2 linked regions of the Saccharomyces cerevisiae S288C genome follow. The protein of the gene in region 2 interacts with the protein of the main gene of each other region in a pairwise test. Each region holds a gene or a part of one and is shown on either strand. Other genes may lie near its edges.

Evidence for each region. The genes of interacting proteins can lie anywhere in the genome.
Region 1: the proteins of MRP8 (region 2) and MGL2 interact in a two-hybrid assay, tested with the Saccharomyces cerevisiae proteins (2 studies listed by BioGRID).

Annotation. Positions count from the first base shown.
Region 1 is NC_001145.3:685,272-690,842, forward strand, and holds MGL2 (putative carboxylic ester hydrolase), read left to right. Parts: upstream 1-2,244; coding exon 2,245-3,594; downstream 3,595-5,571. Other genes in the region: ERG12 (mevalonate kinase), read left to right, coding at 1-527; YMR209C (uncharacterized protein), read right to left, coding at 640-2,013; DML1 (Dml1p), read left to right, coding at 3,812-5,239; EFR3 (Efr3p), read right to left, coding at 5,424-5,571. UniProt on the Saccharomyces cerevisiae protein: Converts monoacylglycerides (MAG) to free fatty acids and glycerol. Has a preference for palmitoyl-MAG. Does not play a significant role in ethyl ester biosynthesis. Also possesses ester hydrolase and low but persistent TAG lipase activity.
Region 2 is NC_001143.9:175,493-180,901, reverse strand, and holds MRP8 (Mrp8p), read right to left. Parts: upstream 2,388-5,409; coding exon 1,728-2,387; downstream 1-1,727. Other genes in the region: TGL1 (sterol esterase), read right to left, coding at 1-123; succinate dehydrogenase cytochrome b subunit SDH3, read right to left, coding at 639-1,235; ribosome biogenesis protein LTV1, read right to left, coding at 2,730-4,121; DNA-directed RNA polymerase III subunit RPC25, read left to right, coding at 4,421-5,059; proteasome regulatory particle base subunit RPT1, read right to left, coding at 5,286-5,409.

The sequences.
Region 1 (5,571 bases), on a different chromosome or scaffold from region 2:
TGAAGCCAATTCTAGATGCCATGGGTGAATGTGCCCTACAAGGCTTAGAGATCATGACTAAGTTAAGTAAATGTAAAGGCACCGATGACGAGGCTGTAGAAACTAATAATGAACTGTATGAACAACTATTGGAATTGATAAGAATAAATCATGGACTGCTTGTCTCAATCGGTGTTTCTCATCCTGGATTAGAACTTATTAAAAATCTGAGCGATGATTTGAGAATTGGCTCCACAAAACTTACCGGTGCTGGTGGCGGCGGTTGCTCTTTGACTTTGTTACGAAGAGACATTACTCAAGAGCAAATTGACAGCTTCAAAAAGAAATTGCAAGATGATTTTAGTTACGAGACATTTGAAACAGACTTGGGTGGGACTGGCTGCTGTTTGTTAAGCGCAAAAAATTTGAATAAAGATCTTAAAATCAAATCCCTAGTATTCCAATTATTTGAAAATAAAACTACCACAAAGCAACAAATTGACGATCTATTATTGCCAGGAAACACGAATTTACCATGGACTTCATAAGCTAATTTGCGATAGGCATTATTTATTAGTTGTTTTTAATCTTAACTGTGTATGAAGTTTTATGTAATAAAGATAGAAAGAGAAACAAAAAAAAATTTTTCGTAGTATCAATTCAGCTTTCGAAGACAGAATGAAATTTAAGCAGACCATAGTATCCTTGATACATTGACTCATAATCAGTTAAATAGCCATTCAATCCCTTTGAGCTATCAACTTCATATTCCTCCACAAGGTCCTTCCACCCGCGAATTTTACGCAGCCGACTTAATTCATCTCCTGTAAATTGGACCAAGGGTTTGGTGCCATACTTTAATGGACCTACATTGACCCAATGCAGCTCTTTACAGTATTTCTTTAGTGCTTCAATACTGGATAGATATTCAAACATATTTTCCGCGGTATCTATGAAATATGCGCTACAAATGATAATTTTATCATAGTCTTTGGAAATGGGAGAATATCGTGTGAAGTCCCCCCATAGTGGGTCCAGATTACTGCGGTGGCCAACTTTGCTCAAATCTGCCGATAAACTTCTCAACTGATTATCAAACACTGTCTGGCATGAATATTGTTGTACAAAAGGACGTATCTTAACGTCATGCTTATATTCGAGTGCAAATAGGTTACATATGTACATCAAGGCTGATAATTCGATGGAGTCCACCTGTATTTTGGGGAAAGTGGTGGCAAGAGTATGGGATAGGCCACCCACACCAGCCCCTGGGGTCACGATAAGAATTTTCTCTTTCATGTCCCCGGCACTAATCACATGATGGTTGATTCTACTAATGATAAAATTTTGTAAAGGATCTCTTTCCACACTATAGTAAGAGCTGAAATCACGACACAAATGTGCTAATGCTTCATGGACCACACTTTGGCTGCCTCGAGACGAAACTATTGGAAATACGAAGTCAGGATTCAATTGAATAAGGTGACCATCTTTAATCTTATAGCCGTGTTCCGCGCATATCTTTTCAATTTCCTCTGTAAATTCTTCATCGTGTTCGTTGGAATGAATCAATTTCCCTAAAGTGAACTCAATTATCTTGTCAATAACTCTTGCGTTTTCTCGGATACCCTCATTATTTTTCATTAATTTGGTGAAGTAGCCTAATTTTTGCAACTGATCTTCTGAAATTCCATTTAATTGTCTTGCTCTCCGAAATAAAAGGCCATTATAGCCTTCTCCTCTTGCTCGATACTCATGTAAACGGATTAAATTCCCCGTAAGATCAGGAAGAGTGGGAATCTGATAATTAATTTTAGAAAGATTCGATTGATCGGCAGATATTGATTTCTCAACATCAACCAATTTTAAGGAGGGCGATAAAACGCTGACTTTTTGGGCCAGATTTGATTTTCTTGATAATAGCTTTTCAACATATGATACAAACCACCTCTGCAACGGCTTATTTTGCCTTAGCAGTGTCATCAGGACTACCACAAGGGCTAGAATTATATTTGATGCCAGTGAGCTAACCATTGGCGCTCCTCAACTTCGTATATCAATATTTTTACCTCTTCTATTTCCTGAAAAATTTGTTAATTGTACAGCATCGTTTACGTTTTTTTTTTTTTACGGGTCTTCTTACCTAACCCCGAAAAGTATTGTGGATCTTAAAAGGGTCTCAATTATTTGAAGTTCGATAAAAACCAACTACTTTGTTATTTTAAAACTGTATTATACAAACGCTGGTAAACTTCCAGAGACGATATGCGTCTAAAAGAATTGTTACCTAATTTTTTGATTGTTCATCAAGAGGTCCCTGAGGATCCTATTGCATTCAAGTCCACCGATAAACGAGAGAATGAAAATAAAGAGATCACCATCCCTGAGCTAATAGATACTAAAGTTCCTGAATTAGCTGACGGTGCTACTGACACTTTATATGGTTTACTGGTCAATGGCCATTTACAAACTGCATATGGTTCCTTTAGACACTTTGACAATATATACAAAGTTCAATATAAAAGAATGATAATCAAATACCCACATGGGGGAGAAGGGACTGTGGATTTTGCTGTAAATGGTAGAAGTACCAAAAGAAGAAAAGTGGAAAAAGAATACGTGCCGACAAGTCAACCGGTATTTAACGGAAACTTGAAACGAAGATATTCGTACTATTCCCCTGATGATCCTAAATTGAACTCAGACGATGCTAAGCCTATGCTTATTATTCTCCATGGATTAACAGGGGGTTCGAGGGAAAGCTACGTGAGGGCAATTGTTCATGAAATCACCACGAAGTATGACTTTGAAGCATGCGTGTTTAATGCTAGAGGATGTTGTTATTCTGCAATTACAACGCCGCTATTATACAACGGTGGTTGGACCAATGATATAAGATATTGTGTTAATGACTTGAGGAAAAGATTTCCGAATAGAAAGTTTTATATGATGGGATTTTCGTTAGGCGCATCTATAATGACAAATTACTTGGGAGAAGAGTCAGATCGTACTAAAATCGAATGTGCTATTTCCGTGAGTAATCCATTTGACCTGTACAACTCTGCATATTTTATTAACAGTACACCAATGGGGTCACGATTTTATTCACCTGCTTTGGGTCACAACTTACTACGCATGGTTCGAAACCATCTCTCTACTCTGGAAGAAAACCCTGATTTCAAAGATGTTATCGAGAAGCATTTAAAAAAGATTCGCACTGTGAGGCAATTTGATAACTTGTTGACAGGCCCAATGTTTGGATATAAAAATGCAGAGGAGTATTACAAGAATGCTTCATCATATAAAAGAATACCCGGGATCAGAACTCCTTTTATAGCTTTGCATGCTCAGGATGACCCAATTGTCGGAGGTGATCTTCCTATAGACCAAATAAAATCCAATCCATACACTTTGCTTCTAGAAACTTCGACGGGGGGGCATGTTGGATGGTTCAAAGACAGATCCGGCAGAAGGTGGTACGCAGAACCCTTATGCAGATTTTTGAAAATATTTCACGACGAAATTACTGTAAAGGGCTTAAAACCTGACTTGGAAAATGTTCAACTCCCAGATCCTAATTGCGAACCCATAGCCACAACCTTTCGCGCGAATTAGTTTGTAAATAAGTCAACTTTTTAGATGTGTAACCTGATAATTTTTTTTTTTGATGTTCGACATCATTATTTCTGAATGAAAACGTGAAAAGCTTCGCCAAACTTAAAATGGAAAATTTCGAATGGAACAAAATATAATCGATGCGATGAATTAAAACCTTGGAAGAAGAGGGTTAATTGTTAAAATTACATATATAATTGGCAGACAAGAATAAAAAATGCATGAAGTAGTAACGATATCGGTTTCGCAGAGAGCAAACCATTTGACTACTCAATTCTTCAATATACAAGAGGGCTATTTACAATTGTCTAAAGAACAACAAGTCAATGACTCCAAAATTTTTCTGAATTCGGTTGTAGATAAAGTTTCAAAAACAATTTCATATGCACCACGTGCCTTACTTTGGGATGCCCGTACAGGTAATGGTTCACTAGGAACATATCAATATTCAGAAAGCCAAGACTATCATTTCGGCAATGAAGACAAATTCAAGGAGCAAACAGTTATAAAGACTCATCCAAGAATACCTAAATCCGAATATCAGAGTTCTCTAGATGCAGGAGCACCGCTGCCTTGTTTGAACAGAGAAAATACGATGTATTGGTCTGACTATTCTAAACTTATCTATGGTCCTTCAAGTTTCAATATTTTGAGAAATTGGTACCATGACACTGAAAATCCAAACCAACCTGACTTTCAAAACTTGGGGGAGCGAAAGTTTGACAGGTATTCCATTGGTTATGACGAATTTACCGAAAATTACTTGCAAGAGTTTTTTGATGGAAATTTGCATAGAGAATTGGAAAAATGTGACACCCTGCAAGGCTTCAATCTTGTAAGTGATATGGAGAGTGGATGGGGCGGGTTTTCTAGTGCTCTACTGGTGGAATTAAGGAATGAATTACCTAAAAAGGCGGTCTTTTCATGGGGACACAATGAAGATGATCCATTCACAGATGACTTCCCTATGAAAAGACTTTCAAAGAAATGGCTCCCGATCATTTCGAACAAATTAAGAAGCACAATAAATATGATGCAAGAATCCGATCTTTACTTCCCATTGTATGCTGCTCCTGGACTAACTAATTGGGAAACTGCTGGAAAGAGCTGTAGGATATTTGATTCTATAAATGCGACAATTTCCCAAAGCAATCTTGAACAAAGAAAGACAATGGATTATCTAACAACTGCCATTACCTTAGGATATTCGTCGCGAAATATGGTCACTGGCATGGTTATCGGTGACACCGATTACTCATTCTGTTCTCGAGTACTTCCTTTCAAGAATAGCCACAAACCAAATTCTACTCACATATTTTCAAAAAGTTTCATTGATAGAGGAAATCAAACGCATAAACATCATTCCGAACCTGATTCACGGAGTAAGATGATTGAAATGTATACACACAGGTATTTTCCATCTGATACGATACCGACAGAATTTTCCAATGATCGTGAATTTGTTTTGGAATTAGAATCATCTGAAAAAAATCGAGATATATTCAAACATTGGAATGAGTTTGTGGTAAGGTACTTCAAAAATGATAGTGACAGAGAAGAATTGAAAAATGAACTTTCCGATTACGCCTCAGCGTACGAATCTGGGTGGTATGAAGACGAAGATTCTGGTGATGACGATATGTGATAAGCAGTTTGCAGCTACGTATTTCCTTTCTCCAGTTGAGGCAAACAGGACTTCTTCCATCTTTTTCGAAGTTTTTACTTCGCCATTTGATCTATATCTACGTAAATTACATTAATTAGAAAGTCATGCTATATCACTCTTGCCCTTGAAAGCATCCACAGCTGTCCGTCAAAAACTTAATTTCTCAAGTGGAGGAGAAAATTTTACCTCTTGAACTTAAAGAATGTAAATCTTCATTTGCGTCTTTAAAGTCATCGTTTTGATTTTCACCAGTTGCTGTTTTTTGCAAAAAGGATTTTCTATTTCCAATGCTACTGCGATCAGAAAGACTA
Region 2 (5,409 bases):
GAAAAGGTTAATCATTGGTTGTGGTATAAGTTTAAGGACTGATGAAATAATGCTTTCTATGTATACCAAGACGACTATAATGTAATCTGTTATCGATAATCTGCCTAAAAAGGGGAAGTACATTTTGCCAAAAGACAGTTTTTTAAAATAGTGCTAGAATAATAAAGTTTTGTTCGAATTGTTTTCTTTCTTCTTTCCTTGTTCCTTAATATCTCTGCACACCTAGTTATTCCTCGAAAATAATTCTTCTTGTATTTACTTTATACAAAAGAAAAATGACCGCCTATGTTTGCTTTTTCTTGCCAGTAACAAATAATAGCTTCAATAAGTATCCGGAAAGAAATTATCTTGATATCTGTAAAAAATCACTGATATTTTGTTGAATATGATTACTCTTGCGCTATCTTTTCCTGTTTTTCCTCTTGTTTGTTCCTTTATTTTCTCTATTGTATTTTACAGAAAGGCAAAAAAATAAAAAATGTGCCCCTAGTAAATATAGGTTTGTGTTAATCGGCATTTTGGGTTATAAAGATCTTAAAGAATAAATAAGTGCGGTATTGGGTCATATATAGGAACGTATATATAAAATTGGCTATATATATATTTGTGTGTAGAAACAGGTGCGTCGCCTTAAAGAATCATAAAGTTAATAAATAAGTACCGAGAACGGCGGTGAAACCAATGAGAGCGTAACCAGTTCTGTAAACGCCTTTCAATGTCAATTCCTTAGCGGTATCCCAGATCAAGTGTCTAATGGCGCCACCATAGTGAATTGCAAATAAGTAAGCAAAGGAACCCTTGATGGACCATTCGGTAATCTTGGAAAACTTCTGATGGTACCAATTAGAAACCTTTTCGGTAGTCAATCCAAGACCTAATAAACCAGAGACTCCGAAGAGTATAGTAAACAAGTAGAAACCTAGTCCCATAAGCACCAACGAAATACGGTGAAGAGAAGACAGGTACCAAGTTAATTGTGGCTGGTAAATGGTCAGATGTGGAGAAATAGGTCTCTTTGCTCTTTGCTTGTTTAATATTTGTTCTTCAGCAATTGCCGCTTTGGTGTTCATTTCACTGGCCACATTCTTCAATGGTGAGGTAGAAAGGAAGTTTGTTCTAGCTGTATTAAAAAGCAGCCTCCTCGAGGAGCTCAAGGCAGCTGCTCTTGAAAAGGCGGAGGGTTTCAGTAATAGAGCCGACTTATTCAGTCCTAACTTGACCATCATTGCAGACATCGTTTATTATTCTTAGAGCTTGTGATTGGCAATTTTTGGTTGGTCCTGAGATTTCTATGCGGGGATCTCGATATCATAATGCCAGTGCACATTTATACAAGTACCAAACGCTTAGAGCGGAAAACGGAGCGGGCTACCGCAGCCAATCAGAATGGACCTGGTCAAAAGTTAGATGATGCTTAAGACTACTGAATGGTATACAAGGTAATATATAGAAGGCTGTTGGTATACAGCTTTCAATCACAGATAAAAAGTATAGGTATACTTATGGGAGGAAAACTTTGAATTCTTTTCTTCTCTTTTTCACCACTAGAACATCCTTTAACTGCAATGCCGCGGAAAACATAGGTTTCATTGAAAGAGAATCCTGTTATGATATACTCAAAACTATATGTATATAGATATATATATATATATAAGTGAGGGAAATTTCTAGAACCTGGAACTCAAGCCCTCTTATTCATTGATTTTTCATTTTTTTTCATTTTCTGTTTACCATATTTCGGTTCCTCTTCTAAGGGAGAGACCTAGATAGCGGGCAACATCATTAAATGCATCATCTAGCTCATCTTTGGAGAACTTTTCCAACTCCTTAGAAATCTCTTCATCAGTGGTCTCATTAATGTGAAAGGCTTCCACCTTACCTTCCAGGAAGTTTTCAAAATCTTCTTGTTCCTTTAGAGTTGGTGGCAATCTTTCGTAGAATTTAGCAAGTCTTACCAGTTTTAAGTCTGGGATGTCTTTAAATTCTTTCAACGACTTAGGGAACACTCCGTCTGAAATAGCAGGAATATCACCATCTGCATTAGGCAGTGGCGCTATAACGTCATCATCATCTTTTTTCAAAGAGTTAACAAGTCTTCTGATAGACCTTTCCTCGATGAAATTTAGCTCACCCTGTAGTTCTTTGACTAATTCCACTAGATCTTCATTTGTGGCAAAATCAGTGGCATCGAATTGAGTAGCGGATCCTGATTTCTTCGAGATAGATTTAGAGAATTTCGAATCAAAATCAGTTACGTCGTGCTTTTGTTTATCTAACTGCAATTCCAGCACACGCTCTCCTGTCTTAGAGATAATCAGACTTTGCTTCTTCACTAAGTCTTGTAATTCAGAGACTTGCTTCTGCAGTAATTCAATTTCGTTAGACATTTTCTTCCTGCTATTTATTTATGTGTATTTACTTCCTTTCTTAAAATGTACTTTATCTGCGGAATACGAGTAGTAAGACAAGATATCTCAAACGGTTACTAATTTGAACGGCTCTTTGAAGCAATGCACGCCGGTTTTCTTTATACTAAAACAATATTTGAATAATGAAAATCGACCTCCTTCCTCCACCCCCTTTCTCCGAAATCCACAAAGAGCACCGCCGCGTTTCATAATTATTACCCGGTGGGCAGGATGTATTTTAGCATCAATGCATTCTAGGCTAAGTATACATGTCTACACAGTACTTGTAATGTAGGTGCTTTCTCATCTCATTCTACTCCTCTAAAATTTTAAGCTGCTTAGTGTATTGGTGACCTTCTCAAGTTTCTTTTTCTCTTGCCTTTCACGATTTCTTCTCTGAGACAGTTTACCTTTGCTTACTTCATCAGCAGCTTCCTTCAGCCTTTCAATTTCTTTATCTTTCTTAGCCAGTTTACGGCCACCACTCTCCAGTTCGTAATTGTCCAAAAAGTCATCAAGCATTGACTCAAAATCAGATCTTTCTGCTGACATGTCAAATGGTTGGTAATTTTGTTCTTCGTCCTCTTCTAGTTCTTCCTCATAATTTTCGTAACCATTGATGATTTGATCGTACTGATCATCCAGTACTGTCATCGTCTCTGTACGCGCAATGGCACTTGAACTCATGGAAAATCCAGATACATCTGACATGGCACCCTTTTTTTGACGGCTCTTTCTTTTCTTCTTCCCCGTCTTGCTTTTGTCTTGGATAGAGGGCAATTCGCCCAGCACATCTTCCTCTTCAGAGGGATTTACACTGTCTAAACCTGCATTAGAAAATTCATCATCCGAGTTATGCTTTTCTAGTATAGAGTTATCTTTTTGAAATCTTCGAACATCAGCTTGATAATCGATATTTTCCAAGTCCTCCAGGTTTTCGATGTTATCAAATTGCGCCATTTCCTTAACGTAGTTTTCATCTTCAAAATTTTCTACATTATCAATATCCCACTCATCAAACTCATCCTCGAATTCGTCTTCATCTTTTGCTTCACCGCTCCCTAGTAATTGTGCGAAAATGTCATCTTCCTTTTCTTCTTCTCCATAGTTATCGCCTTGAAGTTGTGTCTTTTTGCTGATGTCTTCAACCACAACATCATCATTAACAACATATGCTTCATCTTCTAAAGCTTCAAGCACCTCTCTTAATGCAGGATTCATATCAGGTTTGAAACCTCTAATTTCATCGGTGGTATCTTGTTGGTGTAGTAAATATTCTGGCTTTGCCATCCCTCTTTGAAACACAGGTAGCGCGTCATCCTTCTCAATTTCATCACGTCTATACTTAGGTTCGATGAATAAATCTTCAATGTTTTTTTTTTCGACCTTCTGTTCATTGCCTTTGGATGCTATAAAGATGGAGTTTTCAGGGTCGAGACCTATTGGCTTCAAATGTTGAGTATAATCGTATTCAGAATCATCAAAATTAATACCATATAAAGCTGCTTCTCCCACATGAGCCCTCCTACCCTTTGGTTTTGTTGAACTCACGTCTTTTTTTCGAAGATCTGCTTCTGGAGAAGTTTTATTTGGATTGGAGACAGGAACCAAAACGTGCGCAGAGGCATCTGTATCATAAAATGAAGGATCATCATGGGGTCTGTGTACCACCACGTACCTTTGGGAGTTTTTAGAGCTAAATTTCTTCGACATCTTCGTGCTTTTTATATTCCCCTTAAAGTCTTTGAAATACTATACTGGTTGCTCGTAGGATTCGGTAAGAACCCTGATTTAGATGCTCATAATATTCAGGCGATGCTCATCGCTTAAAATTTTTATTTGACAAATTTTCAGTCGCGTTATACGGATTAGTTAATTTCGTATCATAATAACGAATATTCAAGCCATGTGCAGAAATAGACGCAAGAAGCGTTATTCGGAAGAAACTATCGGGTAGTATAAAGACATTCTGTAGTACTATTTAAATTAGAAAATTCATTGAACAAGGTAATATGTTTATCCTTTCAAAAATCGCTGACTTGGTACGAATCCCGCCCGATCAATTCCATCGCGATACAATATCGGCAATCACACATCAGTTAAATAATAAGTTCGCCAACAAGATTATTCCCAATGTCGGTCTATGTATTACGATTTACGACTTATTAACCGTCGAGGAAGGCCAATTGAAGCCAGGCGATGGATCATCCTATATTAACGTTACATTTCGAGCCGTTGTTTTCAAACCGTTTCTAGGTGAGATAGTAACTGGATGGATTTCTAAATGTACAGCAGAAGGCATAAAAGTTTCACTGTTAGGTATATTTGATGACATTTTTATCCCACAAAATATGTTATTCGAAGGGTGCTATTATACCCCTGAAGAAAGTGCATGGATTTGGCCCATGGATGAAGAGACGAAACTATATTTCGATGTAAATGAAAAAATTAGATTCAGAATCGAAAGAGAAGTTTTTGTTGATGTGAAGCCAAAATCACCCAAAGAACGAGAATTGGAGGAAAGAGCTCAATTAGAGAATGAGATTGAGGGTAAGAATGAAGAAACTCCTCAAAACGAAAAACCTCCAGCATATGCCCTATTAGGTAGTTGTCAAACTGATGGCATGGGACTCGTTAGTTGGTGGGAATGATAGATAAGGACGCCACTGACTTCAATAAAACATTTAATAATAATAGTAACAGTAATAATGAGGATAATAATATATAATAAACGTGAATTTTCTTTAGCATTATATACGCTAATTCTTTCTCTATTTGAGGGGATACTCTCGTATCCTTTTTATCTCGATAGTTGTAGTTGTACTTGTTGTTTTTATTAACCCTTCTCATAATATATAATAAAAAAGTACATTGACGTCAATTATATTGCATATAACGCGATGTGGAACTAAACTTCTTGTATCCGCTAATAACTTTATCAACAGCCTTCAGGAAATCCTTTTCAGTAGCCACCTTTCTTCTTGCTCTAATGGCAAACATA